Sus scrofa: one gene and its partners. The main gene of each other region encodes a partner of the protein of the gene in region 5 in a complex. Links are inferred from orthologs where the notes say so. Each region holds a gene or a part of one and is shown on either strand. Other genes may lie near its edges. The genes, in order: RAB11FIP2, RAB11FIP3, MYO5B, RAB3IP, RAB11A, MYO5A and SH3BP5.

Evidence for each region.
Region 1: the proteins of RAB11A (region 5) and RAB11FIP2 are in contact, whole or in part, in a crystal structure (PDB 2GZD), measured with the Homo sapiens proteins. The link is inferred for Sus scrofa from reciprocal best matches to the Homo sapiens genes RAB11A and RAB11FIP2. Residues at the interface, in NP_004654.1 of Homo sapiens: Arg33, Ile44, Gly45, Val46, Glu47, Phe48, Ala49, Thr50, Lys61, Trp65, Arg72, Arg74, Ala75, Ile76, Ala79, Tyr80, Arg82; in NP_055719.1 of Homo sapiens: Glu478, Ile481, Asp482, Asn483, Leu485, Val486, Met489, Glu490, Pro493, Ser494, Leu496, Arg497, Val498.
Region 2: the proteins of RAB11A (region 5) and RAB11FIP3 are in contact, whole or in part, in a crystal structure (PDB 2HV8), measured with the Homo sapiens proteins. The link is inferred for Sus scrofa from reciprocal best matches to the Homo sapiens genes RAB11A and RAB11FIP3. Residues at the interface, in NP_004654.1 of Homo sapiens: Arg33, Ile44, Gly45, Val46, Glu47, Phe48, Ala49, Thr50, Trp65, Arg72, Arg74, Ala75, Ile76, Ala79, Tyr80, Arg82; in NP_055515.1 of Homo sapiens: Asn731, Phe732, Gln735, Ile738, Asp739, Arg740, Ile742, Val743, Met746, Glu747, Pro750, Ser751, Leu753, Glu754, Val755, Lys756.
Region 3: the proteins of RAB11A (region 5) and MYO5B are in contact, whole or in part, in a crystal structure (PDB 4LX0), measured with the Homo sapiens proteins. The link is inferred for Sus scrofa from reciprocal best matches to the Homo sapiens genes RAB11A and MYO5B. Residues at the interface, in NP_004654.1 of Homo sapiens: Leu11, Lys13, Arg33, Glu35, Ile44, Gly45, Val46, Glu47, Phe48, Ala49, Thr50, Gln63, Trp65, Glu71, Arg72, Tyr73, Arg74, Ala75, Ile76, Thr77, Ala79, Tyr80, Arg82, Gly83; in NP_001073936.1 of Homo sapiens: Ile1627, Gln1628, Gly1629, Leu1630, Trp1706, Met1710, Arg1713, Tyr1714, Ser1717, Gln1718, Glu1721, Arg1724, Gln1745, Leu1747, Gln1748, Leu1749, Lys1750, Lys1751, Glu1755, Ala1759, Leu1763, Tyr1779, Glu1786.
Region 4: the proteins of RAB11A (region 5) and RAB3IP are in contact, whole or in part, in a crystal structure (PDB 4UJ5), measured with the Homo sapiens proteins. The link is inferred for Sus scrofa from reciprocal best matches to the Homo sapiens genes RAB11A and RAB3IP. Residues at the interface, in NP_004654.1 of Homo sapiens: Phe36, Leu38, Glu39, Asp127, Leu128, Arg129, His130, Leu131, Arg132, Ala133, Pro135, Thr136, Leu156; in NP_783322.1 of Homo sapiens: Asn367, Thr368, Leu369, Ser370, Ile371, Glu372, Pro373, Asp412, Arg424, Thr428, Cys431, Asn432, Thr435, Tyr439, Leu444, Val445, Lys446, Gln447, Gln448.
Region 6: the proteins of RAB11A (region 5) and MYO5A are in contact, whole or in part, in a crystal structure (PDB 5JCZ), measured with the Homo sapiens proteins. The link is inferred for Sus scrofa from reciprocal best matches to the Homo sapiens genes RAB11A and MYO5A. Residues at the interface, in NP_004654.1 of Homo sapiens: Arg33, Glu35, Ile44, Gly45, Val46, Glu47, Phe48, Ala49, Thr50, Gln63, Trp65, Gln70, Tyr73, Ala75, Ile76, Ala79, Arg82; in NP_001369276.1 of Homo sapiens: Ile1660, Gln1661, Trp1738, Met1742, Arg1745, Tyr1746, Ser1749, Gln1750, Glu1753, Arg1756, Gln1777, Gln1780, Val1781, Lys1782, Lys1784, Met1795, Glu1818.
Region 7: the proteins of RAB11A (region 5) and SH3BP5 are in contact, whole or in part, in a crystal structure (PDB 6IXV), measured with the Homo sapiens proteins. The link is inferred for Sus scrofa from reciprocal best matches to the Homo sapiens genes RAB11A and SH3BP5. Residues at the interface, in NP_004654.1 of Homo sapiens: Tyr8, Asp9, Tyr10, Leu11, Lys13, Glu35, Phe36, Asn37, Leu38, Glu39, Ser40, Ser42, Thr43, Ile44, Phe48, Lys58, Gln63, Trp65, Tyr73, Ile76, Ala79, Arg82, Gly83; in NP_004835.2 of Homo sapiens: Asp42, Ile45, Gln46, Leu49, Glu50, Asn53, Thr56, Ile59, Asn60, Glu63, Thr64, Glu67, Lys240, Tyr243, Leu247, Leu250, Glu251, Ile253, Ser254, Asp255, Ile257, His258, Arg261.

What each region holds. Positions count from the first base shown.
Region 1 is NC_010456.5:128,108,150-128,112,233, forward strand, and holds the start of RAB11FIP2 (rab11 family-interacting protein 2), read right to left. Parts: upstream 2,801-4,084; 5' UTR 2,343-2,800; coding exon 1,990-2,342; intron 1-1,989. UniProt on the Homo sapiens protein: A Rab11 effector binding preferentially phosphatidylinositol 3,4,5-trisphosphate (PtdInsP3) and phosphatidic acid (PA) and acting in the regulation of the transport of vesicles from the endosomal recycling compartment (ERC) to the plasma membrane.
Region 2 is NC_010445.4:41,282,199-41,286,430, reverse strand, and holds the start of RAB11FIP3 (rab11 family-interacting protein 3), read left to right. Parts: upstream 1-1,432; 5' UTR 1,433-1,447; coding exon 1,448-2,533; intron 2,534-4,232. UniProt on the Homo sapiens protein: Downstream effector molecule for Rab11 GTPase which is involved in endocytic trafficking, cytokinesis and intracellular ciliogenesis by participating in membrane delivery. Recruited by Rab11 to endosomes where it links Rab11 to dynein motor complex.
Region 3 is NC_010443.5:99,808,135-99,812,323, forward strand, and holds the start of MYO5B (unconventional myosin-Vb), read right to left. Parts: upstream 2,801-4,189; 5' UTR 2,776-2,800; coding exon 2,728-2,775; intron 2,017-2,727; exon of another isoform or gene 1,564-2,016; coding exon of another isoform or gene 1,537-1,563; intron 1-1,536. UniProt on the Homo sapiens protein: May be involved in vesicular trafficking via its association with the CART complex. The CART complex is necessary for efficient transferrin receptor recycling but not for EGFR degradation.
Region 4 is NC_010447.5:34,001,830-34,005,990, forward strand, and holds the start of RAB3IP (rab-3A-interacting protein), read left to right. Parts: upstream 1-1,361; 5' UTR 1,362-1,508; intron 1,509-1,646; exon of another isoform or gene 1,647-1,665; intron 1,666-2,209; 5' UTR 2,210-2,336; coding exon 2,337-2,347; intron 2,348-4,161. UniProt on the Homo sapiens protein: Guanine nucleotide exchange factor (GEF) which may activate RAB8A and RAB8B. Promotes the exchange of GDP to GTP, converting inactive GDP-bound Rab proteins into their active GTP-bound form.
Region 5 is NC_010443.5:163,885,248-163,888,241, reverse strand, and holds the end of RAB11A (ras-related protein Rab-11A), read right to left. Parts: intron 641-2,994; coding exon 501-640; downstream 1-500. UniProt on the Homo sapiens protein: The small GTPases Rab are key regulators of intracellular membrane trafficking, from the formation of transport vesicles to their fusion with membranes.
Region 6 is NC_010443.5:119,164,277-119,168,550, forward strand, and holds the start of MYO5A (unconventional myosin-Va), read left to right. Parts: upstream 1-1,474; 5' UTR 1,475-1,665; coding exon 1,666-1,692; intron 1,693-4,274. UniProt on the Homo sapiens protein: Processive actin-based motor that can move in large steps approximating the 36-nm pseudo-repeat of the actin filament. Can hydrolyze ATP in the presence of actin, which is essential for its function as a motor protein. Involved in melanosome transport.
Region 7 is NC_010455.5:2,582,802-2,586,788, forward strand, and holds the start of SH3BP5 (SH3 domain-binding protein 5), read right to left. Parts: upstream 2,801-3,987; 5' UTR 2,648-2,800; coding exon 2,507-2,647; intron 859-2,506; coding exon 796-858; intron 1-795. UniProt on the Homo sapiens protein: Functions as a guanine nucleotide exchange factor (GEF) with specificity for RAB11A and RAB25. Inhibits the auto- and transphosphorylation activity of BTK. Plays a negative regulatory role in BTK-related cytoplasmic signaling in B-cells.

The DNA of each region.
Region 1 (4,084 bases), on a different chromosome or scaffold from region 5:
AAGGAAGCCATTCAATATATTAAAAAACTAGAAATATTACCAATAAAGATACCTCATCAAATACGTGGTCCCCATTTAGCCACAAAGAAAGAAAACATTAGGGATTAATAACATATGAAAATCATGCTGAAGGCAATAACATCACAAGCCCTGCTGATAACATTTAAACGCGTTTTCCTCCCCAAAAGTTCTAATCCATTTTATATAGTAGCCAAGAGAGAATTTCTGTAGGGAGACGACAATATTAAGAGTATTGCTTACAGCCAAATTTATTGTATTGTGATGCTGCCAAAGATAAGGAGTAAAACAAGAAGAAACTTTAAAGGCTTATTTCAGCCTCAGAATCTCTGGGTTCACACTTGGGCCTATTTTTCACTTGGAAAATTTATATTCCAGAGAAGGCCTGCAGTACATCATTCATGAACATTAAAAGTACTGTAAATACAGTATGAAATCAGAAGATGCAATCTACTTAAAAGTTCACATTCAAAACACTTTAAATCTTATATGAAAGGTCATCCGAAATTGGCAATTTGAAAGAAATTATTTGGGGACTATCCACTTTGCAGTTTAAATCTGATGAAGAACTTCTCGGGGGTAACTGCATGCTACTTTGTAGTTACCAAACATCATTAAAATCATTCATATATATTCAACTTTGCACTTTTTTAAAACCTTTTTCTGCCCTTAAAATATTTTCACCTTCTCGGGGTAGTGTAAATAGTTACCATTTTTCCTCTGCATTCCTAGTGTTACTTCTCACGCTACCATTTAGACATACATTAAACCTTAGGTAAAGAACTGACTCCAAAAACATTTTTTTCAATAAAAATAAAAATTCCAATCCAGAGCAGCTTGCAGGAAGGTATGTACAGAAGGAACAAGAGGTGGTTGTTTTAAAATAAAACATGAACTTCAAGAAAGTTATCATTATAAAAGTTTTTAAATCGTAAATAAAATTTCAGTTATAACTGAAACACCAAAGTTAGTTTTGAAATCTGAAGTCCTCTTGTCAATGCAACCCATATTTTTCTCTCATAAATTCCATCAGCTTTAATGTTCTCTCAGAAGAGAGAAATTACAAGCTTAAAGAAGGGCTGGGTATCCCTACCTCAGAAAACATACTATTTTTCAATTTAAGACATAACATCCTAGTTTTAACTTATATTATGGCTTTTTAAATTAGACTCTATATCTATTCTACGTTTGGAAGTCAGATTAAAAAGGCCTATGATTTTTACTGAAGATGTCATTAAATCATTTCCTCACAAGAATTTAATCAGTCTCCAATCTGACAACATGTAATATGGTCTAAACACCCTGGCTTTGCAGAACTTGGAAGTAATGGCGTTCAAGGTCGAGGATGTTGGTACCCACTTTTGAAACTTTTTTTTAACAGCTTTAGACTCCATCGAGATGTGCTGACCCTGAAAAATGCCTGAGCTAAAATAAAAGCCAACTGTGTTTATAATGCTGAAATAAAATACTGAGTCCTAACTTGGGTAATTTATCACTTGACATCGTAAGAGTTCAACTGCAAAATCAATCAATCTATCTACCCATCTAAAAGACCTTACATTGGCAGATTTGGCTTTCTGATGGCTGTTCCATTTCCTGAAAAACTGTAATGTTTAAAGAGTATAACATTTTACATATATGTTGTTTTAGCTGGTCAACACTGTTCCTGTCCTCTTAGAAGTGAAACAATATTAATATACTTAAAATCGTGTGCAAAACATTCAGTTAACGAAGATGTTTGCCTCGAACAAGTGAGAGAGTAAGGGATCATTAAAGACTCCATTTATGAAAATGTTTCTTCACAAGGGCTATTTTTACTTCAGACTCATGCAAATATGGTGCTTAAAACTGGGTCATATTTCAGTCCCCAAACCCATGCCCCAGGTAGACAAGTAACTTCCAAGAACAGAAAAATCCATAAAGAAGATAAAATTACGCTCCCCCCAATTCAAAATAAATTACATAACTTACTCTGTTTTCCTTCTTTGTTTGTCCTCAAAGATGTCATTGAGATTGATGGCCACCTGCCCTAAAAACTTATCCAGACCCACCAGGGACCTGTGCATAACTATGAGGAAAAGGATGTATTTCTCTGGATTCCCCTGCATTAGCAATCCAGGGAGCTCAAAAGAGGCCTCTTCCTTCCAGACTGGCTCAAGCGTTTTCTCAGCTACGGAGGTGGAGTACTTTTCTTTGCCCAGCTGAATTATAGTGTATGTGTCATTGGTGCCACTTTTGCCTTTTGGCTTAAGATCTTTGGCTTGGAGCACGGTGACCTGCACGTGGGTCGGAAACCACTTTTGGGCTTGCTCGGAAAGCATCATCCTGTCCTTTTTCTCTGCACCGAGTTCACAGCGCAGGCAGTGCCCCTCCCGGGAGGGAGAGCCTAATTCCTTAATCACTGCATCCTAAGGGCACTTACGGAGACAGGCAACCGCACAGCTGCCCGACTTCCCTAGGGCTGACGTCCAAACGCCTCGCTGGGGCAGCCCAAAGACGGCTGCTCTGGGGGTCCCCTTTCCTCTGGAGAAACACAGGGCCCCACCATCACCTGGCCGCGCCGTCCAGGCCTCCGCGCGGAGGCCCGCGCCTCGCGTCCACACCTCAACGCTCCGCCGGCCCTCGGGACCGGCCCTCGGCGGCGGCGGGGAGTGGGGGGGGGACTCCCGGGCCTGCGGGCAGCTAAGGCCCGACCGCCAAGGCCCGGGCTGCGGGCGGCGCAAGTGGGAGGGCGCCTCCTGCCCGGACTCCCAGCCCCCGGCTCCCGCCCGCTTCCTCGCGGCCGGGCCGCCCCCGCCTCCTCCGCGCCTCCCGGGTGCAGGTCCACCGGCCCGGTCGGGCTCCTCCTCCCGACCCCGGTAATACGAACCGCCGGCCGCTCGCACGGCCTCGCTCCCTCTCGCAAACCTCTCCCTCCTCCTCCTCCCCTCGCCTCGGCTCCTCCTCTCGGGCGGAGGTGGGGCGGGGGCGGGTCGCCGCGGGGTGGAGTGGGACCAGGGGCAGGGGAGGCGGCCGCCCCGCAGCAGGAGGACCAGGGACAGGCCCTGGGCAGCACGGCGGCGGGCGCGGGGCTCAGCCTTCCCGGAGCCGGCGGCTCCTAGCACCGGGCGGGCGGCGCCGGCACTTCCGGGTTGGCCTTCTCCATGTTGATCTCAGGAACGCGTGGGGCGGGGCCGGGCGGAGCCATGGGGTCAGGGGTCAGCACCTCCCTGGTTGCCGTGGTGACCGGGGGTGTGCCGCGTGGGCGCTGAGGCCGCGAGCTCGGCTCCCAGGGCAGCGTGTTGATCCAGCGGGTTCACCTCGCTTGGTCCTTGTCACGATCCGGGGTGCCGGGGAGTTGGGGACCCGCACGTCAAGGAGTCTCTGGGGACAGCGAAAGACCGCTCCGAGAGGAAAGCAGTCTAGGCCAGGAACTGCCGGCCTAGGGAGAAACCCGGTTTCAATCTTTGGACGCTGTCCTTGCTGCACCCGGGATGCCCAGTGCCTGGCACCAAGCGGGCATTCGATGAATAGCGGTGAAATAAATCAGTCCCCTTCATTGGCCGAAAAACACACCTTTCCCCAAACCCTCAGTCACTCTTCTCTATTTGAAAAGAGAGGCGATTAACTGACTGGAATGCCACCCCCTACTCAGATGACAGAAGAGAGGGAAGCAGAGAAAAAGATCCCAAAGCCAACACAGGGAATTAATAAAGGTCACGATGAGTACTGGGCTGGACACAGACCTAGTTCTTGATCCCACATCTGCTACCATCAGTCTGAACGACCTTGGTCAAGTTATTTCCCTTCCCTGAGGCTTGGTTTTTTTCACTGTTAAAATAGCTCTCCGTTATGGCTGAGACCCCATGACAACTGTAAGGGCTTAACATCAAAAGGAACCCCTGGGCACTCATCTAACTTCAGAAGCCAAACCCAGTGGTCAATCTGCAAGTATTAAAAACGAAGTCAACTAAGAAAACAAACAGCCTCCTTCACCAAGGGCGACTGACAAATTCCTTACTTACCCTGAGGGCGAAGACGGATGGACTCTGTTAAGTGAAGAAAATTGGGATGTGTTAAGACTGCA
Region 2 (4,232 bases), on a different chromosome or scaffold from region 5:
TCCGTTCCAGCTGGTCTGGGGACTAGGAGCTGGTGGGCTCCATATACTTAACTTCTTCACCTGGTGGGGTTTCAGCCTCTGCAAAACAGGTCTGAAGGGAGTTCCTGTCATGGCTCAGTGGTTAACGAATCCGACGAAGAATCCACGAGGTTTCGGGTTCGATCCCTGGCCTTGCTCAGTGGGTTAAGGATCCGGCGTTGCTGTGAGCTGTGGTGTGGGTTGCATCCTGAGTTGCTGTGGTTCTGGTGTAGGCTTGGCCTGCAGCTCCAATTAGACCCCTAGCCCGAGAACCTCCATATGATTCAGGGTAAGGCTGTAGAAAAGGCAAAAGGACAAAAAAAAAAAAAAACCCAAAAAAACAGCTCGGAAGATGATCTATCGGAGTTCCCCTTGTGGCTTAGGGGTATTGAACCCGACTACTGTCCATGAGGACGTGGGTTTGTAGGTGTGGCCCTAAAAAAAAAAAGTGATCTATAGCCCCCTTGAGGAGGAGCTAACTAAGGCTCCTTGACTGTTCTGTCTGTCTGCTGCTTGACTCTTTTCCTTTCTTTCTACATTTTTTTTTCACTTTTCTAATTAAATTTACTCTTTGGAACTCGGGGAAGGCCTAGGGGGCTAGTGTTTTCTAAAGACATGAGGAAGGCAGAGGACATAAGGAAAACAAGAAAAAGAAAACACAGGGATAATTTTTTTAAAAAATTATTTTTTTACTAAGGTATAATTTACACGCAGTGAAATTCATTCTCTGGTGATACAATTCTGTGAATTTTTTTTCTCTTTTTACAGTTGCACCCGTGGCATATGGAGGTTCCCAGACTAGGGGTCTAATTGGAGCTGCAGCATATGGAGGTTCCCAGACTAGGGGTCGAATCGGAGCTGTAGCCGCCGGCCTACGCCACAGCCACAGCAACGCGGGATCCGAGCCGCGTCTGCAACCTTGACACCGGATCCTTAACCCGCTGATCGAGGGCAGGGACCGAACCCGCAACCTCATGGTTTCTAGTCGGATGCGTTAACCACTGCGCCACGACGGGAACTCCTGTCCGAGATTTTTAAAAAAGGCCTCTGCGTTGGGCCACCCGTTCCTTGGGTCACAAGTGAGGGACCGCATGTTCAGGGCCCTTCCACACTCAGGCCGGGACTGCGAGCCACGGTTGCGGGAGGAGGATGTCACGCGCACTTCGCTCGCCCGGTTGGATCGCATCCGTTGCTTATCAATTTGAGGGAGCTCTTTATGCAGGCAAGACGCAGTCATCCGCGTTGCGTGTGGGGGTGCATGACGTCACGCCCGGGGTTGCTGCCTTCCAGCGCATTCGCCCCCTTTACACCCAGCCTCCCGGTGCCGCAGAGGAAGGGAGACCCACATACAGCCCCACAGCTTCGCAGCGCGGCTGCCTGCCTTTATAGCAGCCCGGCGAGGGGCGGAGCCAGATGGCGGCGCGACGTGATGACGTCAGGCCGACAGAGGGCGGGGCGAGGGCGGCGGCGTGAGCTCGGGTACCGCGGACACCTCCTCGTCCTCCTCAACCGTGTTCCCCTCAGCGTCCTCCTGCGCGCCGTCCTCCTGTTTAGGGTCCTGATTCTCCAGATCCCCCTCCTCGGCGACCCGCTCCTTAGCCTCCCCTCCTCGTCCTCACCCTCGGCTTCCTTGTGCCACCCGCCGCCGCCGCCGCCGCCGCCATGGGCCCGCGCCCGCCGCGCCGCAGGGCCGAGGACAGCTGAGGCGCGGCGCGAAGATGGGCGAGGGCGGAGCAGGGCCCGAGCGCCAGCCCGAGCAGCCCGGGCGCCCCGCGCGCGCCCGCCCGCGTCGCCGCGGGGATGCCCGCGCCCGCCGCCGCGCCCTGAGCGCCTTTGTCTGCCGCCCGCGCCGCCCGCCGTTCCACTGGCCTCGCGGGCCTGCGCCGCGGCCGGGGGCGCGCCCATGAAGATGGAGCCGGGCCGGCCGGCCTCCCCCTCGGGCGGCCCGGGCCCCGACCCAGACCCCGGCGGGCCCGGCGCGCCCTCCGCTCCCGCCCTCCACCTGGGGCTCGGCCCGCAAGACCCCGAAGCCGGCCCGGAGGCCGGACGGGGCCCGGGGCCGGAGCGGAGGCCTCAGCGCCTTGGCCGGGCCCCAGACCCGGACCCCGACTCCGATCCCGACCCCGACCCCGACCCCGACCCGCCGCTGTCGGAACTAGGCCCGCTTTATTCCTGGACCGCTGAGCCGGAGGGTGACGGCCCCCCAAGCTGCCCGCACAGCGCGACAGCCCGCGCGCAGGATTTCAGCCGCAGCCACCACCTGCGGGGCGAGGTCGACTTCTTCCCCCCCTTCCCCTCGCCCGAGGTCGGCGAGCCGGCGCTGGAGCTGGGTCCCGGGGACCCGGACCGGCCCTCGGACTTCAGCCAGACCCGCCCCTTAACGAGCGAGCCCGCGGGGTGTCCGGAGGACGCCCCCCGGCTCCGAGCCGTGTTCGAAGCCCTGGACGGGGATGGAGACGGCTTCGTCCGCATCGCGGACTTCGTCCAGTTCGCCACCGTCTACGGGGCAGAGCAGGTAACTCGCAGCGTGGGAGCCGGGCTCCGTGCGCGGGGGTCGCGGAGGGCACTTAAGGCCGGGGTCCGCGTCCTCTCGTGCTTGACTTCTGCCCTCACCTCTGGTCGAATTTCGCCGAAGCGCCTCTTTCCCCTTGAGAGAGGTTCTAATTCCGGGATTTAGTGTCTTCCCTGACGTCTCAGGCCACACAAGCTGGATATTTTCCTAAGTCGAGGGGAGCGCCTGGCCTGGGGACATGCCCCCAGGCTGCCCGATGGAAGTGCCCTCCGCAGACGTGCCCGCCGTTCCCCCAGCGGAGGGCCCAGGTCTGGTCGGGCTGAAGTAATTCGCTCCTTGGGTCTGCCACGGGGCACCTGGACGCTTAGGGATCATGTTCCAGACGTCTATTTTGAGCGCAGTTACTTTACTGTGTGTGGTTGGCATATGTTCTCCATAGACTCGTTGTTTGGGAGACGCCGAATGCCAAAAAATTTCACTGCTGTTCCTTCTGTGCAGAAGGGAAAGAGAGGAAGCCCAGAGGGAGGGGAATGAGCCTCGGAGCACCATGGTGCATGCAGACTTGAGGAAGCCTGAGCAGAACTGCCTCAGGGCCACCTCCTCGCCTGTGGGGCAGGTGTTGGGAAGGCACAGTGCAGTGGGGCAGGGGGTCCTGCCCAGCCCCCCGGGGCTGTGGCTGCGCTAGGAGGAGGTGGCCCTCACCCTCCAGTCCCTCCCTCCCAGCGCTTAGGAAAGTTTAGGTGGAGACAGCAGCAGGGCTGTGTGTGTTCTGGTATTAACCCAAATACATGCAAATTGATTACCGACGTTCACTTGTAATTTTTTTTATTTTTGCCTTTATTATTATTATTTTTTTTAGGGCCACACCGGCAGCATATGGAGGTTCCCAGGTTAGGGGTCACATCAGAGCTGCAGCTGCCAGCCACAGCCACATCAGATCCGAGCCACATGTGCAACCTACACCGCGGCTCGCAGCAACGCCGGATCCTTAACCCACTGAGCAAGGCCAGGGATCGAACCTGTGTCCTCATGGATGCTAGTCAGATTTGTTTCCACTGAGCCACGACAGGAACTCCTACTTGTAAATTTTTGACTTAGGAATAGGAAATTCCTAAAATGCTGATCTGCTAGTTTTTGTGTGTTGCTGACTTCTCACACTTGCGGACATTCGTAAAGTGGCTGTTCAAGCGTGGATACATGTTTAAGCCCAGAGGTCTTTAAGAGGCATCATTGACACCCTGCTTTTCAGAGCATCCGTCATCACGTTAAGAGCCTGTACAAGGGATCCGGGTGCCCGTGAGTGTTGACAGTGTCCATTGAGCTGTTGGGTGCAGAACCGGCTTGCCTGAGCTCAGGTTCCTTGTTGAGGTCCCGGCCTGGGAAGATGTGCATGTGGCAGTGGGCCTGCATGTCGGCGTTGGGTCTGTGGGACGCCCTGCTTTAGCTCTGGGTTGGAAGATCTTGCTTGAGATTGGGTTTCCCATCTCTTAGTCTGACGGACGGAGAGATACACAACTGATAATATCCTGTGTGCTTAGCTTGGACCGAGATGGCTGCTCCAGGTGCTTTTGTTTGTTTTTTGTTTTTTTGTCCTTTTAGGGCTGCACCTGCCTGGAGGTTCCCAGGCTAGGGGTCGAATCGGAGCTGTAGCCACTGGCCTCCACCACAGCCACAGCAACACGGGCTCCGAGCCGCGTCTGCG
Region 3 (4,189 bases), about 64 Mb from region 5:
TCAAGGTTCAGGACAACCCACTTCAGGAAAAGAACTGAAAGTTGACCGCCCAAGACTCCCACGGGAAACTAGGCGGGGTGCCCTTCCAAAGCCAGAAACGCCAGAGATTTCACCTGCTGGCTCAAACCTCACACCCTTTCCTCCTAGAAGCCGTCATTCATCAGGGGACCTAGATGGGGGAGGAGCACGTAGCCAAAGTTGCTGAGACTCCGCCCCCAGCCAGGTTACACCCTCTACTGCCATCTCCTGTCATCCCAACTGGGCCTTGTCCCCCTCCAAGAGGAAGAAGGGATTAGAAAATTCTTCAAATGAAAATGGGTGGCCAGTCCACAAAGCTGAAGGGCTCGCCCACGCGCAGGGCAGCTGCGAGCAGTTGCCAGGTGAGGATGCGGAAGTAGCTCTTGCTCCCCGCCCAGACCTGCTGGCCAGGGGCCTTGGTCCTTTGGATCACACACACACCCCAAGCGTACACCACGCACCCCTCTGCATGCAGAAAGGTGGGTGCGAGGCACTGTCAAATGTGTCCCGGCCACAGAGAAGATAAGCCTGCAGCCTAGGTGTCACAACAGGCAAAACTTTTTTTATTTTTTATTTTTTGAGAGGGGAGGGGTTCGTACTGAAAGGCCTCTGCCCCTCTCACACCCCCACTCCCACCCCTCACCCCGCGCCAAGTTGAAACCCGAAGGGGTCCAGACGACTGCCGCTCCGCGGAGGGCGCTCAGGAAGCGGTGGCTGGCCTCTAACTTTAATCAAAGCAACTGCTGCGGAACCGGGGCTTCTCCGCCCGGCCGCACCTGTTCCCGACTCTTGAGGACCAAACCCCACACACATCCATTCTGACCTTGAGAGCATCGTGTAAATCCACACTCCACCCCCGCGTCAGCATTACTCCGATTCCTTCCCCGAAATGACTGAAGCCCACCAAGTGCCCCCCGCCGAGCGCCCGCTTCAAAATGCCCATCCTTGGCACAGTGAGAATGCACCTCCCCGGGAACTCCCTGGAGCATCCTCCACCCACCGCTTACCCACCCACCCCAGCCGCCGCGCCTCTCACACCAGGTTGGGTCCCCCCTCTCCCCACTCCCAAATGTAGGAACACCCCCCAAGTTGAGGGATCCCCCTTAATGGCACGCGAGGGTCGCCCTTGGGAGCCCACGATGCAGAGCCCCGATGTGGGGTCCACGAGCAGGGGAGCACCGTGGGGGGCTGTGCTAGTGCCGGAGGCTCCGAACTGGTGGGGTCGCTCCTAAGGTATCGGGACCTCGACCGGACTGAGCTGGGGCGAGAACAGCAACCGCACCGAGTCAGGGAGCCTGCCAGGGGTGGGAGCCGCGGGCGGTCAGCGCGGGGCGCTCCCGGAACAGCCAAACTTTCTCTGCCTCCCGAAGTTCGGGGCGCGGAGGCGGCGGCGAGGGGGCAGGCTGAGAGGCGTCCACCGCCGCCCCTACCCGCCGAGCCGCAGGAGAAGGCGCCCCCGAGGACCGCCCTCCCCTCAGCCCTCACCTGTGCCCCGGGCCCGAGGCGGCCCGCACTCACCTGGCTGTAGAGCTCACTGACCGACATGACCCCGCAGGCCGGGCCGGGCCCGGGCTCGAGCTCGGTGCCTGGCGGGCTGCCCTCGCTCGTGCCCCAATGGGGGGCGGGTCCGGCTCTTCGCGGCCCCAGCGGCTCTCAGTCCATGGCCGGCCCTCCTGGCGCCATCTTCCTGGGCTGTTCGAGAGTTTCTCGGTTCTTTCCCCTTTTCTCCAACCTGCCCCGCCGGCTTCCTGGAGGCGCCGCAGCCGGCTCGCTCTCTGCCGGCGCGACCTTTACTCCCGCGGCAGTGGCGGCGCAGCGGCGGCCGGGCAGGAGTGGCGACCGGGCGGGCGGGGGAGGAGGCCGCGCAGCGCCGCTCCCGGCTCAGGTATGGGAGGCGGCGCGGGCGAGGGGGGCGGCCGAGAAGGGAGAGGGCGGGCGCGCGTCCGAGCGGGCGGCGGACGCACTGCCGCCGCCGCCTTTGAGCCCTGCCCGGGCCGAACCCGCCGCGCCCTCTCGCGCCCCCGCCGCAGAGGGGTCCTCCTGGCCGGGGGCGGGGCCGCGCAAGGAGCCGGCGCCGACTGCCCCCTGCTGGACGCCCGGCGCGCTCCGGACAGGTGCGCTCCGGGTCCGGGCACCTGCGGTGGGCGGGGATCCGGTGCAGATCAGAAAAAAAAGAGGTGGAAGTATCCGAGAAGGGAGAAGAGGAATAAAAAGGAGAAATGCTTGCAGCTGAAAGACTCCATACATTTTCCTCTGGATTTACGGGGCTACATTCAATACCTGCATCATTAAAAATCGTTATGTCGTAGATTAGGGTGATTTGGATATACCAAAGATTGTCTCCGCCAAACTGAGCTGCCTGCGCTGAAATCCTGATCGGAAAGGTGGGAGCTGAAGTCTTCTCCACTTTGACAGTTTCACCCACAGCTTGCGGCTAGGCTCCCTACCCCCATCAGAAAATTGTTTGCTTTTCTGGGAAGTCTCACATTTTCTCCGCTCTCTCTCACACGCACTCTCAGTCCCTCTGCCGCTGCCTACCTGATTTACTTTTGTCGGTTCTGCCAGTGACATTGGCAGCGCCACTCCCTCTTCTGCTTGCAACATAAAGTAGAAATTTCAGCCAAAGAGGAAATTAATTGGCAGGAGGCAGTAAAGGGAGCGCAGGAGCTGTAGGAAGAAACATTTGGTCTTTTGAGGTGGCATTTGTACCTGAATGAGTGATGGCCCCTGAGAGTGGCTCTCAACCAAAGCATCCATCTATGTCGCTGGAACAATTGTTCTAGAGCCCCGCTCCCTGAAAGGTGATTCTTAAACTCATCCCATTTAAGACCCTCCCACTTGGAAGACAGGATCTCCATTTAATCCACCTGCAGCCCTTCTCGACTATGCTTCCTCAGTAAGAATCACCTGAGGAGCTTTAAAGCCCTTCCAAGGAAGGGGTTCCCCACCCTGAGGAACTCGGATTCATTGAAGGGTGAGACCCAAGCATCTGAAGTTTTAAGTTCCTCCATAATTCTAAAGGATTTTATTTCCAGGGTTGATAAAGGAAGTGAACAAAGCTTGGGCAACTCTTCTTGGATCTGAAAGGAAGCTCTTCATAACATTGGGAAGAACAAAAAGGAAATGATTCCATCATTTCTCTCTCCCTCAAAAATCTGTCTACATAGTTTCCTTCCCCTTATTCCTTCCCCGTATCCTGATAGTTATGAAAGTGTGACAGCCCCACCCCACCCCGCCCCACCACCCAGGACCATCAGCATCACCTGGGAACTTTTTAGAAATACAACATATGGGGCCTCATCACAGACCTTCCCATCAGAAAGGCGGGGTGTGGGGCTTGGCATCCTGTGTCCTCACCCCTGCCACAGATTCTTTCCTCTCGGGCTAGGAAGGCCCAATCCCCACCTTTGCTCCATATGTCCTTGCCTGCTCCACCACCATGCTCCATCCGTGGTCCCATCTCTCCACTAGCTCTTGACTTTTCCTCTGTTCTCCTTTTCTACTAAAGTTCTTGAAGTGGTAGTTTCTACTGCTGGCTCCACTTACCCACACCCAGTCCCTCTGTAATTCACTGTTTTTCAACATTTTCTGCATGAGAATCACTTTTACGAAAGCAAATGCTTGGCTCCCACTCCCAGAAATTCTGATTTAACTTGTCTTGGATGCTGCCTGGGCAAAGGGGTTTTTAAGAGTTCCTAAATGATTCTAATGACAGCCAAGGTGAAGAGCTGCTGCTTTAATACCCTCCAAAATGGTTTCCTCTCAGCTCCATCCTATTGAAATTGCCATCTCCCTCTGAAGCACGGGCTGGTAACTGGTTCTCCCCATGTTGTTAAACCACCTCCTCCCCTAGCCTCTGTCGTTCTTCTTCTCTTGTTTTCCCAGCCTCACTAACCACACCTTCTGCTTTCTCTTCCTGGTTCCTGAATAAAGCTGTGGCCCATTTCCCAGATCTCACATTTCTTCTCAGGCACACCCCCATTTCATCTCTTACTGCAATATTAACTCTCAAATCCAATTCTAACCTTTAGACCCACTTTTCCACCTGCCAGATAGGCAATGCTAGCAATCCTGCCAGGCCCTTGGACCAACCTGAGGTTCATGTCACCCTCCTTTCTCCCCACCCCCAACCCAGTTCCAACTTTCTGGCTTCCATCATACCTGGCACAAA
Region 4 (4,161 bases), on a different chromosome or scaffold from region 5:
AGTTTGCTGCATGTGCAGTTTATTCATTTTGCTTGGTTGTTATCAACATATTTGTCTTCTTGATTATGTTTACGTGCTTGGATGATGGAGATTGTGTGTAATGGTTTCTCTGTCCCCACATCTAGCAGTAGGCACACAGATCTAGCACGATAAATGTTTGATGAATGAATGACCTAGCGTAAGGGAGAATAGTTAGGAGTCCATTAATGAGGAAGGTCATGTCTAGTTGCAGTAAGAGATGGGAGAGATTTAAGAATTATTTGGGAATTAGAATGGTTAAGACTTGGTATACTGGAGACGTCGTATAAAAGAGTAAATAATGACTTTCTGGGTTTCTGTTTGTATCATAGGTGGATCATAATAATGATGTTAATAACAGCTAATCTTCACTAGGCACCCTGTGTCATGAAGTACACGAAGTATTTTGCATATATTAAACCATTTGATTTCTTAACGACTTAGGTAGGTAGTTTTATTATCCCCACTTATTGGGGCTATTAGATAACTAGCCCAAGATCACCGATACAGATTCTAGGTGCCAACCCCAAACACAGCAATTCTGATTTCTATAGCCATACACATACTCTTCTCTACTAACTCCAATAGACGTGATCAATATAAAAAAAAGTGTGTGTGTCCTACTGCACACATATATCATGTATATGTGTATATCTCTTTTACTAAACATAGAAACGCGTACTGTGATGTGACTGCTTCTTTTTGATTAGATTTTCGGGATCCTGGTTTGTATTTTCACTTTTCCTCTCTGGAGAACCTAAAGTGAGGTGGAAGTTTGACAAAAGAGTTGACATAAAAGGACGAGAGAGGGCAGGTACAGAAACATTCTCGAATGCTCTAACAGCTGCTGGAATGCTGGGATCTAGGTTCTATCAGACTCCTCCCACCCATCCCCCGAGAGACAGACACACGCACGCAAGCACCGGCGCGCGCACACACAGACACACACACACACACACTCACATGCACATTGTAAGGTACAAATGCACGCCAAGTCTCACGTTGGTTCTAGCGGTTCTCAACTCACATCGAAGGTTCATTTTCCGACACCTGGAGAGCTCAACACGCTTCAAGTGAATCCGAGACCGCCTGTTGAGCCCAAGGAAACAGGGCTCAGAGCGGGTTCGCCCTGGTTCCCAGGGAAACCGCCCGCGGAGGCACCTGGGGCGGCAGCCCCACACCTGCGAAGAGCCCCGCCTGGCGCCAGGGGGCGCGGCAGCGCGTCGGCCTCTCTGGCCCCGCGCTCGTCCGCCCCGCCCCCTCCCCGCCCCTATCCCCGCCTTCCTCCGCGGGGGCCCGACCGCTCCCGGCTCCTGGCCAGGCTCCCGGCGCAGGCGCAGTCCCGCACTCCCTCGGCCGTGCACCCGCCGCGGTGGAGTGTAGCGGCGTCGGCCGGCAGTCCTCCTCTCCCTCAGACTGCTTCGAGGCGCGCTCTTTGAGGCTCTACGAGCGCCCCTGAGCGCGGGCCGCGGCAGCGGTGAGTTTGCCAGGTGAGTGCGGTAGCGGGAGGGAGAGGCCCGGGACGCGGAGCACCGCCCCCCTCAGCGCCCGCCTCCCGCGAGCCGGCCTGGAGGGGCGGCCGCGGCAGGTGCAAGTGAGGGCGCGGCGCGCGGGGACCCTGTCCTGGCCCGACGAGCGCGCTCCCCGGTTTGGGCTCGCGGGCTTCGGGACCTCAGGGGCGGCGGCGGGGGCTTGGCGCCTCGGGGCATCAGGGCGCCCCCTGGGGCCGCGGTGGGCGGCGGGCGGCGGCGGCTCCTCCTCTGTCCCCCGGGCCCAGGCGCGTTACTCATTAACTGCGCAGTCCCGAGTGCCCAAGGCGGGAGCCCGACGCCCGGGGCGGGGAGCGGGACGCCGGGTTACCTGTCGGCCGGGCGCGCGCGCAGCCAGGAGCTGGGGGCCTGGGATCTTGGGGGAGTGTAAAGAGAGTTCCCGAACAAGTCTGGAGCCTAGCGCGGCGCGGAAGCTGCACCCGGCGAGGCAGTAGGCGTGGACCGGGGGGTCCTGGGGACCGAGAGCCCGGGCACCGCGCCGAGGCGTAGAGGTCACTCTCGCCAGGTTTCGGCGAAACCTGGTGGGCAAGAGCCGGTGCCCGGAGTCTCGCCTTAGAAGGCAGCTCAGTGCAGCCTGACTTTTGTTTCGGGGAGTTGAGAGGAGCTGCACAGACATAATTGTAATTGCGCTGCCCTTCCAGCGTGGACAACTCGCTCCGACCGCCCCGGGAAAAGCGAGCTTAATGGACTCTGGAAGTGGTGATGTTAGATGGAATCTGCGGCACGTGAAGAGTTGCCAGTTGTTATGGGATTAAAACAAAACCTGTAATGGCTAAAGGGTAAGGTCTTGAAAATTAAGAGCGCTCAGTTAATACCGATTATGAAGAAGCTAACAGTTTAGTTTCGTGGAAATGTATTATATTCCAAGGCTACCTGTTTCCCACTCCTCTGTTTCCCCTTCCAACTCCTTCATTTCAGAGTAGGGAAAGAGCTGTGTAATCTTTTGCCGTGGAATGATTACATAATTTGAGGAGAGGCCGATAAGAGGATTAAAACAAAACTGTTCTATTGTAAATCTGTTGAAAGGCCCAGTTTCTGTTCATTATCCTCAATCTTATTTTGTGCATGCCATTTTAAAGAAAAAAAAAATGGTGAATGACATATCAAGGAGAAAAGAGGCAGGATGGAGAAAAGGGCCAGAATAGATTTGTAGACCAATCATAGTCAATATTTGATACTGTTAAATATTCCAAAAGTTTTATGGGGCTTTGTTCTGTTAACATTTGTTATTTATTTGCTGGTACCATGCATTTTGATAGGACGTTTCATGTTTGGACAGATACTGTATCCCAAATATGGTTTCTGTGATCTAATCCTAAAGCCCTTGTAGAATTTATAGAAATACACTTGCAGCTATATAGTTTTACTACAGTAGCATATTTCTTACTATTAGAAGAAGAGCCTTTTCATTTTTTTCTTTTTCCACTGTGGTAACGTTATATATTTATGCTTACCTTTGTGAACCCAAGTGGGACCGTTTAATGTAACTTTTCCTTAAATGTTCGGCAAACAACTCATCTGTGGTATTGAATGCCTCTAACTTTTCACCAGGATGGATACATGATGTTCACCTGCTTTGTGAATTCTCTGACTAGTGGGGTTTCTAATTAGATCCAGTTGTAGCTTTTGAATTCGTATAGCTGTGTATATGCTCTCTTTCATTTTATTTTCCTCCAATTTTCACTAAACTTTCAACTCCTGCAACACACACATAGACACTCTACAAATAATTTTTAAAATTGAGTCTTGGAAGTCTTTGTCATCACCTCGTTTTTTGATATGGTAGAACAAAAACTTGTAGATTACAGCAATTTTACATGTATTACTGTAGTTAGTATACCTTTTCCTCCTCCTTTTCTGAGCAGAACTCACTGGATCAGTTTTAATGAAAAATTACTTCCCTGTTTTTTAGCATTTTAGCTCCATTACTTGCTATGCATATGACTTTGAGTAAATCATTTAACTTCTGAGCTTATTTTTTTCCATTTATAAATGGATATAGTAATAGGTTGAACCATATGAATTTGCCAGTATTCTGCTGTTGTAACTATGGCTCAACCTAGAATGAACTTCCTTATAGTGGCATGAGAATTAAATGGGATACTCCATGTGGGAGGTGGGGGAGAGGAACAGATAGCTGGAGAGAGGGCCATGCTTGTTGCTTCAGGTACCTTGACTCCTTTAGTCCTCAGAACATTCCTGGCATATAAGTGGTGTTACTGCTTTTTACAGATTAGGAAATTAAGGCTCAGAGAGGTGAAATAACTTGCCTCTGGTTATTTAGTTGTCAGTGGTCCTGTAGCTGACTAATGGCAGAGCCAGGATTAAACGCCCAGTGTGACTGTCCAAAATGGAACTCCTAACAGGCTTGCTCCTTCCATTCCTGGACCACACCTTCTGTGAAAGAGCTTTGTGACTACAAGAAGACATCCAGATGAAAGATGTTGTTATTATTTGTATTTCTTGTTAAAAAACATCCAGGTTTACTGATGATGGTGATATCTGCACATCTGCTCCTCCTGTGGAGTCTAGCGCTTGTGGTGTATCAGGTTCTGGTCTAAACATCATGCCAACTCAAAACTGACTCTCACAG
Region 5 (2,994 bases):
TTCCAGAATAATGGAAAATTTTCAAGCTCTCAAAATTCTGCTATGTTTATAGGGCAATTCTTAGATTCATGGAAATACACACTGCAAGTGAGAGAAGAGTGTGTTAATTATAAGCTGCTCCGTGGCAAAATAATAGCTTATTTCCAGAGTCTTCTTAGTTTGATTTAATCAAGACCGATAGGTCTAAGCTTCAAGGGATCAAGTTCTATTATGTCCTACAGTGACAGCTTCCATGATGAAAAGTAAACAATAATTGAGGAATCCAAATATTCAGTTTATTAAACTAAGGCTAGTGAAGCCATAGCATGAAAAAAAGCTGCAGTCATTTGGGACAAGTGGATGATTTTATAAAGCTAAAATCAAAAGACTTAAGACATGGAAAAATTCATAAGTATGAGGAAGTAATAAAACAAAAATGACCACAAGAATTACAAATATATTTAAATCTCAGACCTGGGAATTGAACTATACACATTCTTCTAGGGGAGAAAAGAAAATCCTTATATGTTCTGACAGCACTGCACCTTTGGCTTGTTTTCAGTGGTTGGTGGAACATGAATAGGAACCACATTGTTGCTTGGAGACATGTCATTTTCACGTCTGTCTGACATTTGCTTCTGGGAAACAATGCGGTATATCTCTGAGTAAAAAAAAGAAACAGCAATACTCAGTGTGAACAGAGCCATCAACAGGTGATATGAAAAACACAAAGAGGCAGAAGTTATATTCGTGAAAATAAACAAACTGAAAAGAGACTGCATATACTCAAAGTTTTACTTTCAAACAGCCACTGATTTAGAGTCAACCCACTATTTTAACAATTTCCCTTAGGGTAAAAAGAGAAACGAAGGTTTTCCATTTCAGAGAGAAAGGTTCACCAGTTAATTTTGGTTAAAAGAGATTACACAGTTTGGGGGCTTAGATCTAAATTAAGTCCTGATAGTATTTTCGGTCTACCCTTACCAAAAAAACCACTGCATACAGTGACACTGTACCACAGAAAAATTAAAACAAATTTGCAATATCTGACACATTAGGTATTTCTATTGGCTATGTAAGAATGAACACAAATTCATATATTAGTCACAATCCCAAAAGACTCCTGGAAAAGAAGAGAAAGATAATGTTTATCAGTGCCTCCTGAACTCAAGTTGAATTGTAATTAAATAACTATTCAAAACAGGCAACTGATTTTCTAGGACACTTAAGAACTAGTTGTTTAGCAGCAACCTTTTTCTCTACCATTAAATAAAGCTGAGGAATGCTGCCTGCCAGAACAGTAAACAAAGATGTTGAGACCATCAAGCCATCAGTCACTGCCGTCCTCTACCCACCATGGTGCACCCTGAGGGGACTGCACACTAGACAATACTGTATACGCGGAGTTCTTGGATGTGATATATGGTATTGCGATTATGTAGGAGAATGCCTTGTTCCTAAGAGATAAAATGCTCAAGTATTTAGTAGCAAATGCCACATCTACAACTGAACTTCCAAATATTGAGCAAAAGGGAAAAAAGTATACTTATATATATGTAGAAATAAACCAAATGCAGCAAAATGTTAATAATTGAGATTTTTAGATGAAGGATATATGTGTTCACTATATCATTTCTGTAATATTTAAAAAACAGAGAGTGGAATCATATTTTCAAAATACTCCAAGAACACAGCGACCAAGTGCAGTGTATGAACATCATTTGGATTTAAATTTGAGACAGGAAATTTTAATACTGTTTGGATAACAGAGGACAGTAAGGAATGACCGCTAATTTTTAGGTTTTGTTTTTATGGGTTTTAAGTTCTATGTTTTAGATTTACATCACAGAATCTTTACAAATGAAATGATATAATATCTGGGATTTATTTCAAAATAATGGGGGAGGGAGTGAGTGGAAGAAGACTGGCTCTGAACTGATAGTTGTTGATGGCTACCCAGAAGTTCAGGATACCATCCTACTTTTGGTATGGGGGAAACTTTCCACAATAAAAAGTTAAAGAAAAAGAAGCGTATTAACTAAGTTAATATATTTTCTCCAAATTAAGAAATAATTTCCCTAAAGCTGAACGACAAGCTATAATCAACTGAATATGTAAACTAACAAAAACACTGTACCTTTTCTTATGCTTTTGGGGGGGTGTGTGTAAAATTTATTTTAGAAAGTTGACAGTGGTTCAAAGGTAAAGAAGCACAAAGAGAAAAAAATTAGATTACAATAAAGGAAAGCTACTAACTAAACTTTAAAAAAAAGAAAACCAGGATATGAAGGACATGGAATCCTCGATTAGATTCTTTACATGGAAAAGGGATGAGATTAGAATGGGTCAAGGGTAAAAAGACAATCATTCAATTAGGCTAGTTGTTAAGGAATAAAGATAACCATCAACTTACTATAAAACTATACCATTCATTCTTTTTTCTTAATGATTTCTCTCTACACTCAAACTGGGATGACACTTCTTTCTCAAGTGCAATTGATTAAATGTGCCCCCCTACAAATTTTAACTGTTATTTTTCTTTTTAGGGACGCACCTGCAACATACAGAGGTTCCCAAGTTAGGGGCTGAATTGGAGCTGCAGCTGCCAGCCTATGCCACAGCCACGCCAGATCTGAGCCACATCTGCAACCTACACTGCAGTGCATGGCAACACTGGATACTTAACCCCCTGAGAGGGACCAGGTCTTCGTGGATACTAGTCGAGTTCGTTACCACTGAGCCACAATGGGAACTCCAATTTTAACTTCTTTACAAGTGATTTTAAACATTAAGTTAGGGGATTAAGATGGCAGAGCAGAAGGACTAAAGCTCACCTTCTCTCATAAAAGCAACAAAATTACAACCAACTGCTGAACAACCTTCAACAAAACAGACTGGAAACTATCAAAGAAAGATATCCTACTCCAGAAGACTAAGAGGAGGCCATATGGAGACAGTAAGAGGGGCTATTATGTGATACCCCATACCCCGCCCCGAGGTGGGCAGCCCAAAGAC
Region 6 (4,274 bases), about 45 Mb from region 5:
GCAGTATACCCCATGGTGACACACGCCCTGAACCCCTTCTCAGCATACTCAGCATTTCTCAACAGTTCATGGAGGTAGGTACTATCAGGAGGGTAAAAAAATAGTCAATACACAAAGCATGAAGAAACTCAAGAGATAGAGTTCAAAATTCTTAAATCTCAATCCAGTGCCCTTTCTGGTGTACTGCTCATAGCTGCATGGTTTCCTCTTTTGTATGTCTGGGCAAAGAAAAGATAGGATGTAAAAACGTGAAAGATACATGGCTTTAGAATGGAAAGTACAAAGAATTCTGCAGGATTCTGTAGCTATTCCTCTGGCATCTCTGAAAAGATTGTGGGCAGTGAGTAAGGGGAGGCGAGACCTGAGTTCCAGGGAGCACTTGACCCAAGTGTCCCCCTCATCAGTGCTCTCCCTTCAAATACACATGCAGGATACACACACTACCAAGGGGGCTAGCCTTGAGAGGTGGTCTTGATAGAAACCATGCCAGATTCCCAGGAATGGCACTGGGTATCACATGAGCACATTAAAAAGAGGTTGAAAAATTATGACCATTAGCCAAGCCAGAATGAAAGTGTGACTTGGGAGCAGGTATATGTGAAGACAGCATGGGCGGGGGGGGGCGGAAAGATCACATTCTTGTGCTCAAAGTGCAAGGATAACAACGATTAGATAGAGAAAGGGCCGGGGCAGAAAGGTAGTGGCACCACTAGGCACAGGCCTGGAAGCAAAAGAGGCTCCAGGGCTGCCTCCTTTGCGCATCTTGTTACAAGGCGCACTTATATCTCTGCAGCTTAAAACAGGCCCATACGATCCTGCATCAAGAAACGACCCTACTGCAGATGCCGAGGGGTGCAGTCATCTTTGGGGTGACCTTGGTTATTCTCTCATTATCCCGTTCCTTGCTCACTCCTAGACTTCTATACTGCTAACAAGGCTCTTCTGGAATTCTAAGTTATTCTATGGCCTTCCAAGAAATCTCGCCCCAAATCATTTCCCTAGAAATGTTTGGAAGCACAGGTGAAGCAGCCTGGAGACTCCTAGCCTTTTCCCTGGACTCCTTCAGTGACACCAACCTTCTCAGGGCTGAGCTGTCACAGTCCAGGGCTCGCTTGGGATCGAGGGAGTCCAGGGGACGACATGCCCCCCGGGACGGGTGTGCAACCGGCAGGTGTCCTAGGGCGGGCTTCTGGGTCTCGGCAGCGCGGGAGGCGGCGGCGGCGACGACGCTGGGTGGCAGGCTGCTGATGCTCGGTGCCCGCAGCCGATGGGAGGCAGCGTGAGCTGGAGAGAACCCGGAGCAGCCGAGGTGGTAGCGCGGGAGCGCAGCCTCCTCCCGCTCCCACAATGCACAGGGCGGCGGCGGCGGCGGCAGCATCACCGTCCGCCAGGGTGGCTGCGGTGGCGACCCCGAGGACCCCGGGCGCGCCGAGCGCGCGGCACTACTCGCGGCGAGCCCGGGAGTGATGGCGAGGCCCCCACGGGCCGCCTGCGTCTGAGGGGCCCCGCCCCGCCCCACCCGGCCCCGCCCGGCGCGGCCCGCCCCGGCCCTGCCCTGCTCGCTGCCGGAGGCAGCCTGGGCGCTTCCTAGTCGGCGCGGGCGGCCGCCCAGGCGAGGTGCGGCCTCCGCACGGACTGGGGGGCGTCGGCGCCGCGGGGCCCGCCATGGCCGCGTCCGAGCTCTACACAAAGGTAAGGCGCCCCGCGAGTCGCGCTGTGGGGAGGGGACCCCGCGGACCCACGCCGCCAGCTGTCATACTGGGGAGGGGCATGGGGCTTGAGGACCCGGTTTTGCTGGGCCGGTACCACCCCTTTCCGAGCATTTCAAAACCCTTGGCCCTGCTCGCCGGCCGCCAGCCGGCGAAAGCGCCTTCCTCGTTCAGTCGTTGATGATTAAGGCGGAGGAGGCCTGCCTCGGGTGCCTCTCTGGCCCCTGCCAAGCTTCTTGGGCTTCGAGCAGTGCGGATTTCTAAGGGAACCCGTGTGGATTTAGTAGGGCGGGCCTGGGTCAAGATTGCTCAGCCTTCCGTCTTGCTTTAGGAAAAATGCTGGCTTGTGGGAGATGCTAGATCTGGTCGGTCCCTCCCTTGGGGACACGCGCTTAAAATAACGTCTTGTGTTGGTATGCGGTGCCACTTCTACCGCCAGCCAACCTTTCTGTGTGAGATTTAGAATCTTTCGCCAGTTTTCACCTTTAGTTGCCTGGTTTCAGATTTTTACCCTGGGGTGGAGGGCCCTTGGGGAGCAGGCGGCGGAACAAACGCGAGCTGATTCACGGACTAGAATAGAATGGTCGGCATTCATTTGTCACTGGGAGTTTGCAACCTGCGTATAATCCCTTAGAGCCTTGTTAGGCTCCATGTCTTCACCAACCTCTGCGGCGAGCCTTCTCCTCCTGGGTTTAGTTTAAGGGAAGTAGCAGCCTTTCTTTCTTATACTGACGCTAGTATTCTCTGGGGCTGGTAATATCTGAATGGCATGTTTTGGAGAACCATACCTTCAAGACAGTGTAATGTCCTTTGTGACTGTGTTGTCATGGCATTTTACACTTTCACTCCCTTGTAGGTAGTAGGTGTTTTGCCAGCTGTTAACTACCTCTAATTCCGGTTAACAGAATTGCCTTAACTTTTCAAGTTGGCATTTGCAACAGCGTCTACATTTAGGGTCCAAGAATCCTTGTATCCAAATATTACCCAAGCAAGCCCTGGGCCCAAGTTGCAGCATGTTATTGAAGGAAGAGGTCTAGACCTGCCATTTAGAGACCCGGATTCTAGCCCTGGATGCTAGCCCTGGCCTTTTGAGTTTCTGTGTGACCTTGAGCAAATCACCTAACCTCTGTGGAGTTCCCCATGTGTAAATGAGGTTAATTACACCTGCTCTGTATCTATTACAAGGCTGTTGTTGTGAGGATCAAACTTTAATAATAGATGAGAATACTTTGTTTAACCTGTGAATTTCTGTGCAAATATGAGGTATATTTCTTCAACTATGAAATGGGTTTGCTTGAAACATTTCCTAGGATTTCTTTCTTTCTAGCTGCAGATTTGAAGACTGCACAGTTGGAACTTCTCTCTAAACCTGGTTATTCCAAAGGCATTTTAGATCTTTAGTGTACGACAGAATGCAATTGGAAATTTTGTAACAAACATTTATATAAACTATGTGCAAGGTACTGTTTTAAGTGCTTTACAAGTAATAACTCATTTATTTTTTATTTATTTATTTGTCTTTTTGCCATTTCGTGGGCCGCTCCCTTGGCATATGTAGGTTCCCAGGCTAGGGGTCCAATCGGAGCTGTAGCCACCGGCCTATGCCAGAGCCACAGCAACGGGGGATCCTCGCTGCGTCTACAACCTACACCACAGCTCACATCAACACCAGATCCTTAACCCACTGAGCAAGGCCAGGGATCGAACCCGCAACGTCATGATTCCTAGTCGGATTCGTTAACCACTGAGCCACGACGGGAACTCCATAATAACTCATTTAATCTGCATAATAAACATATGAGGTAGGTACTAAGAAATCAGAGTCGCTTTCACAAGAAGAGTAAATATCCCTTAGTTACTTTGCATAGACCTTATTCTTCACTAAGGTTTTGGGCTTTGGTCATAGCTTCCCCACAATCTGTTTTAAAGTTCACCCTCTAGTCACTGTAAAGACACATTGATTTAGACATCAGTGGAGAAATTGAGCTTAAACTGCCTTCTCTGAAATATGTTTATACCTAAGAATAATCTAGTCACTTGGTTTGTTTGCTAGCAAATTCGTTTTGTGAATGGGCCTTATCTTAATGGTGGGCAAAAATATTTATTGAGCACCTCCTGAGTGCCAGGTACTCTGCTTACTGTTGAGAGGTTCTAATATGAACAAAACACAGTCCTTTCCCTCAAAGGGCTTTCAGCCTGCTTCATATATTCTTGGCCCACTTTGAATCTCCAATGGCATAAATAACCTGCTGTTACCTCAGCGGCAGGCAGACAGCTGGCATGGTATTTATTTGTAGAAGTTAGAAAACGGGTTGGGACTTGGAGGTTGGAATGATTCTAGAGATAAAAGCTTGGGTAGTGATTATTAGAGGAAGAAGGAAATCATTAGAGGTAACATCAGTGGATAAACATGAGGATTTATCCCTTACAGAGGATTATAGAGAAGGAAGTTCTGGGGTTAGACTACAAAGAAATTTGTAATAGTGACATGCTATAATTATAGTATTCACCCATCGTGGTTAAATCTGAAAAGTGCCCCTTTAAAAAACATCATCCAGAGCTTAA
Region 7 (3,987 bases), on a different chromosome or scaffold from region 5:
CGTGGCTCAGAGGTTAACGAATCGAACTAGGAACCATGAGGTTGTGGGTTTGATCCCTGGCCTTGCTCAGTGGGTTAAGGGTCTGGCGTGGCCGTGAGCTGTGGTGTAGGTTGCAGACATGGCTCGGATCCTGCGTTGCTGTGGCTCTGGCGTAGGCTGGCAGCTACAGCTCCAATTCGACCCCTAGCCTGGGAACCTCCATATGCCGCGGGAGCGGCCCAAGAAATGGCAAAAAGACAATAAATAAATAAAAACAGCCTTTCATTACCATTGAGATGATTATATTCCACGCACAAGCAGTCGATAAATAAAGGGGTAGAAGCGGGGTAGGGGTGTGGGGGGAGGGAAGGGTTCTCAGCCCAGAAAGTCAATAAAGATCTAAATCTTCCTAAGGAAACACACACTATTTCCAAGCACCAATGTAAGGAGCTCCCTTAAAATGCTTAAGAGATTTGTGTGACCTCATTCACTCCTGTCCATTGAAGTACACAGCCAATTTCCCCTTCAGTCCTTTTAACTTTTCCACAGACACATTAACTTCAGGGCTTAAGTCTGTGTAAAGCCCTTGCTTTTGGCCCCATGGAGGTTCCATGATTAAAAAAATATATATGAAATTGGATCCACATGTGTTCCACCCACAAGCTGGACTCAGTGGTGTATTTATTCTGTCAGACGCAGGCTGTTGCTCAACTGCGAAAGTGAATGCCAGCAACCACCTCTTAAAACAAAATGAACCAGCCTGGTGTCAGAGAGACAACGCCACTTCCCCAAAAACAAGCACCCAGCTTTCTGTACCTCAAGTTCAGTCTCCCGTCTGTTGATATCATCCGTGGATTGATTTAACTTCTCCAGTTCTCCCTGATGAAGAAAAGGGAGAGAAAAAGCTTTCAGGGATTGTCTTTTGTTCTGGTATGACTCTGCCCCCCTCCCAACCTGCAAAATTACTCCAGCATCATTTGCAGGAAGAGGAACCAGTCAGTATTAATTTTCAAGGAAAACAGTTGAGCCTTGGCTAAAGAACAAATGAAATGTCAGCATTTCTGAAACCTTTATCTGGGTGGTAGCCCTTCTGAAAATGACTAAGGTCCGAGGAATTTTCTTTTCTTAGAAGGTCAAATATTTTATTCCAGGTATGTGCCTTCAGGTAAACTCACCTGTTACAATGATTTAAGGGCTGAATCCAAACAATAACCCTCTGCTTTAGAGCAAAAACTTGCAGGAAAAAGAAAAAAAAAAAAAAAAAACCCAAACCAGTAAGAGCAAGCAAACAAAACCATGCCAAAAGTAAAAACCCAGTGAAATGATTTATATCAAGGCAGAATTCTGGCACTTACTCATCCATGGTTGAGTATTTTTCTTTAGAGACGAAAATCTTTTCAAACTGCCAATTATTCAACCTTCCTAGCTGTTTACAAAACAAACTAAAACTAACATAAACATTGATCTTTAAATAACATTTACAAACTGACATTTTGTTTAAAAAAAAAAAAAGTGCCCAGTATGAAGTTAACTCATTTTACTCTGCAAACAAAGGATCTTGTCAACAGAATTCCCCTACCCAGAAAACAAAATTTAGTAGTTCAAACTGATTTTATTTAGAATTCCTAATGTAAAGATTTTTCCACCTGATCTTTGTCTTGCTAACCTGCCGTAACAATTCATTTAAACGCCAACAGCTGAGTTAAATGAGCTTTTAATTGATCTGCGCACTGAAAAACCAATTAGGTCTTCAGAAATCGCATCGCGTGCTGCAAAACAATATTTATTTTAAAAAATGATTTATGGAAAGAGTCTTGGAACGGAATATGCTGTGCTTTTTCCCCAGAGGGTGAAGAGGTTAAGCTGTCGCTGCTAGATCTCGGCTTGGAAACTGTCTTTTAATCATCTCCCAGAGAAATGGAGGCAAGGAAGCCAGGCCAATCCCCTCGCCTTCTCGCCACGTTAGCTTTGCGCTGTTAGCCCCCAATTTCTGTTCACTGCCGACCTCAAAAGGAGGAAACGCTGGGTTTTAAACCATTTGAGGCCAAGCGGAGGGCTGAGCCGTGGTGACAATAAACCCTTCGTCCTGCTAACAACGAATCAAAGCAAGAGGGAGAAGGCTCAGGCAGGCTCAGGCCGGGCACCTCCGCCAGGTGAGTGCTCCGAACCCCAAGCATGAGAGGCCACCCTGCTGCAGGGGCGGCGACGCCCACCGCCCCCGGCCCGCGCCCACGCGGCCCTCGGGCTCCGGGAGCCCGGCGTGGCGCCCCCGCCCCCTTTTCTCTTTGTTGCACACCCTCCCGAGCCGCCGGACACGCTGCGGCGACCCCACGGATCCTGCGGGGTAATCCCCGCGATAGAGTCAGGCCGCGTCCACGCGGGCACCGCAGCCTCCCAGGAACCGGGTGAAGCCGGGTACTCTGACTGTCTCCTCCAGCCCCGGACCTACGCGGCCACCTCTCCCGGGTGCAAGCACCGGGGACCGCGAGGCGGGCTCAGTGCCATTGCCGGGATCCACGCGCCCTACCTGTATCCGGGGGTCCACTTCTTCCTCCTCCTCCAGCCCTGGCTCCATCCCCTCCTCCTCCTCCTCCTCCTCCGAGTCCCGGGCTGGCGGCGGGAGCTCGGCCGCCTCCTCCGGCCGGCTCCGCTTCGGCGCCGCGTCCATGCGGGTGGCCGGAGAGCGAAGCGAACGGCGGACTTCGGAGCGCAGGAGTGGCGTTCGCAGGCTGGGCCGGGGCCGTCTGGCCACCGCCCGGTGCGCTCTGGAAGCGCCGCTTGCTGCCGCGGGTCCCCGGCCCCGAGCAGGAGGAAGTGGGCGCGGCCGCCCCCTGTCCGCCGCGGCAGTAAGCGCAGCGCCGCCCGCTCCGCCCCAGGCCGGCCCGCCCGCCCTGCGCGGCCCCAGCTATGGCCCCGGCACCCGGGCTCCGTCACAAAACCTCACTCCCGGAAAACCTTAGGGTCGTGAAATGGAGGAGCCCTCACCCCTTTTAACTTAGCAGCCCGGAGAGATCACAAGCTCCCCAACGTCAGCCGCCTGGTGACAAGAGTGCTTTTCTCCCTCCCTCCTCTGCCCAGGCAAACTAACTGCTTGGAAGGGAAGTTAGGGGTATTGCCACTGTCTGAAGTCACCTTTAGAAGCTGGTATTCAGTGACCCGGGACCAGTTTCAAGACTCACTCAAACTCCTGTATACACTGGAAGCGCTTTGCCCCCGTGGGTGACCTTGGGAATTGAATCCACCTGAAGATTTCCCCAGAACAGGGAACTACAACATATACTCACATAAACACAAAAGGATAAAGAGAGGAGCCAGCTGCAGCTCCATGCGTGGATTCTTGGTCCAAAGGCTGTGGCCCCCACTGGGCCAAGCTACGTGCTTTTCGATGGGTTAGGTGATCCTCCCTGAATAGCCAGGACGCATGGAAAATCCACAGATCAGTGGGTGGGTACAGCCTTCTCAAGAAGATGTGAGTGTGTGGAGTTCCCATTGTGGCTCAGTGGGTTAAGGACCTGACAGTGTCACTGTGAGGAGATAGTTTCAATCCCTGGCCTCGATCAATGAGTATGGTTCCAGCCTTGCTGCAGGCAACCATAGGTTGCAGATGCATCTCGGCTCCCACCTTGCCTGTGGCTGGTGGTGTTAGGGACCTAGCTGCAGTGCTGATTCAACCCCTAGCCCAGGAACTTCCATATACTCCAGGGGTAGCGGGAAAAAGAAAAAGAAAAAAAGATGTGAGTGTAACCCCTGTTAATGGACACACTCTGTCCAAGGATTTATGAGCTAGTAAGTTTTCCTGCCCACCCAAACAGGTAGGGAGCCAGAACTTACTTGCCTGGCAAACTCAACATCACAAAAAGCCAAAGAATAAGGGTATATCTGTGCTTTTATGAAATGTCAGATCCACTGTGATGTCAGGGGAGCAGAAAGTCAGATGACTTTAGTGAAGCAGGCAAGGACATTGCCACTGGCCATTGCTAATGTCTCCTTCACTACAAAATTGCAGGG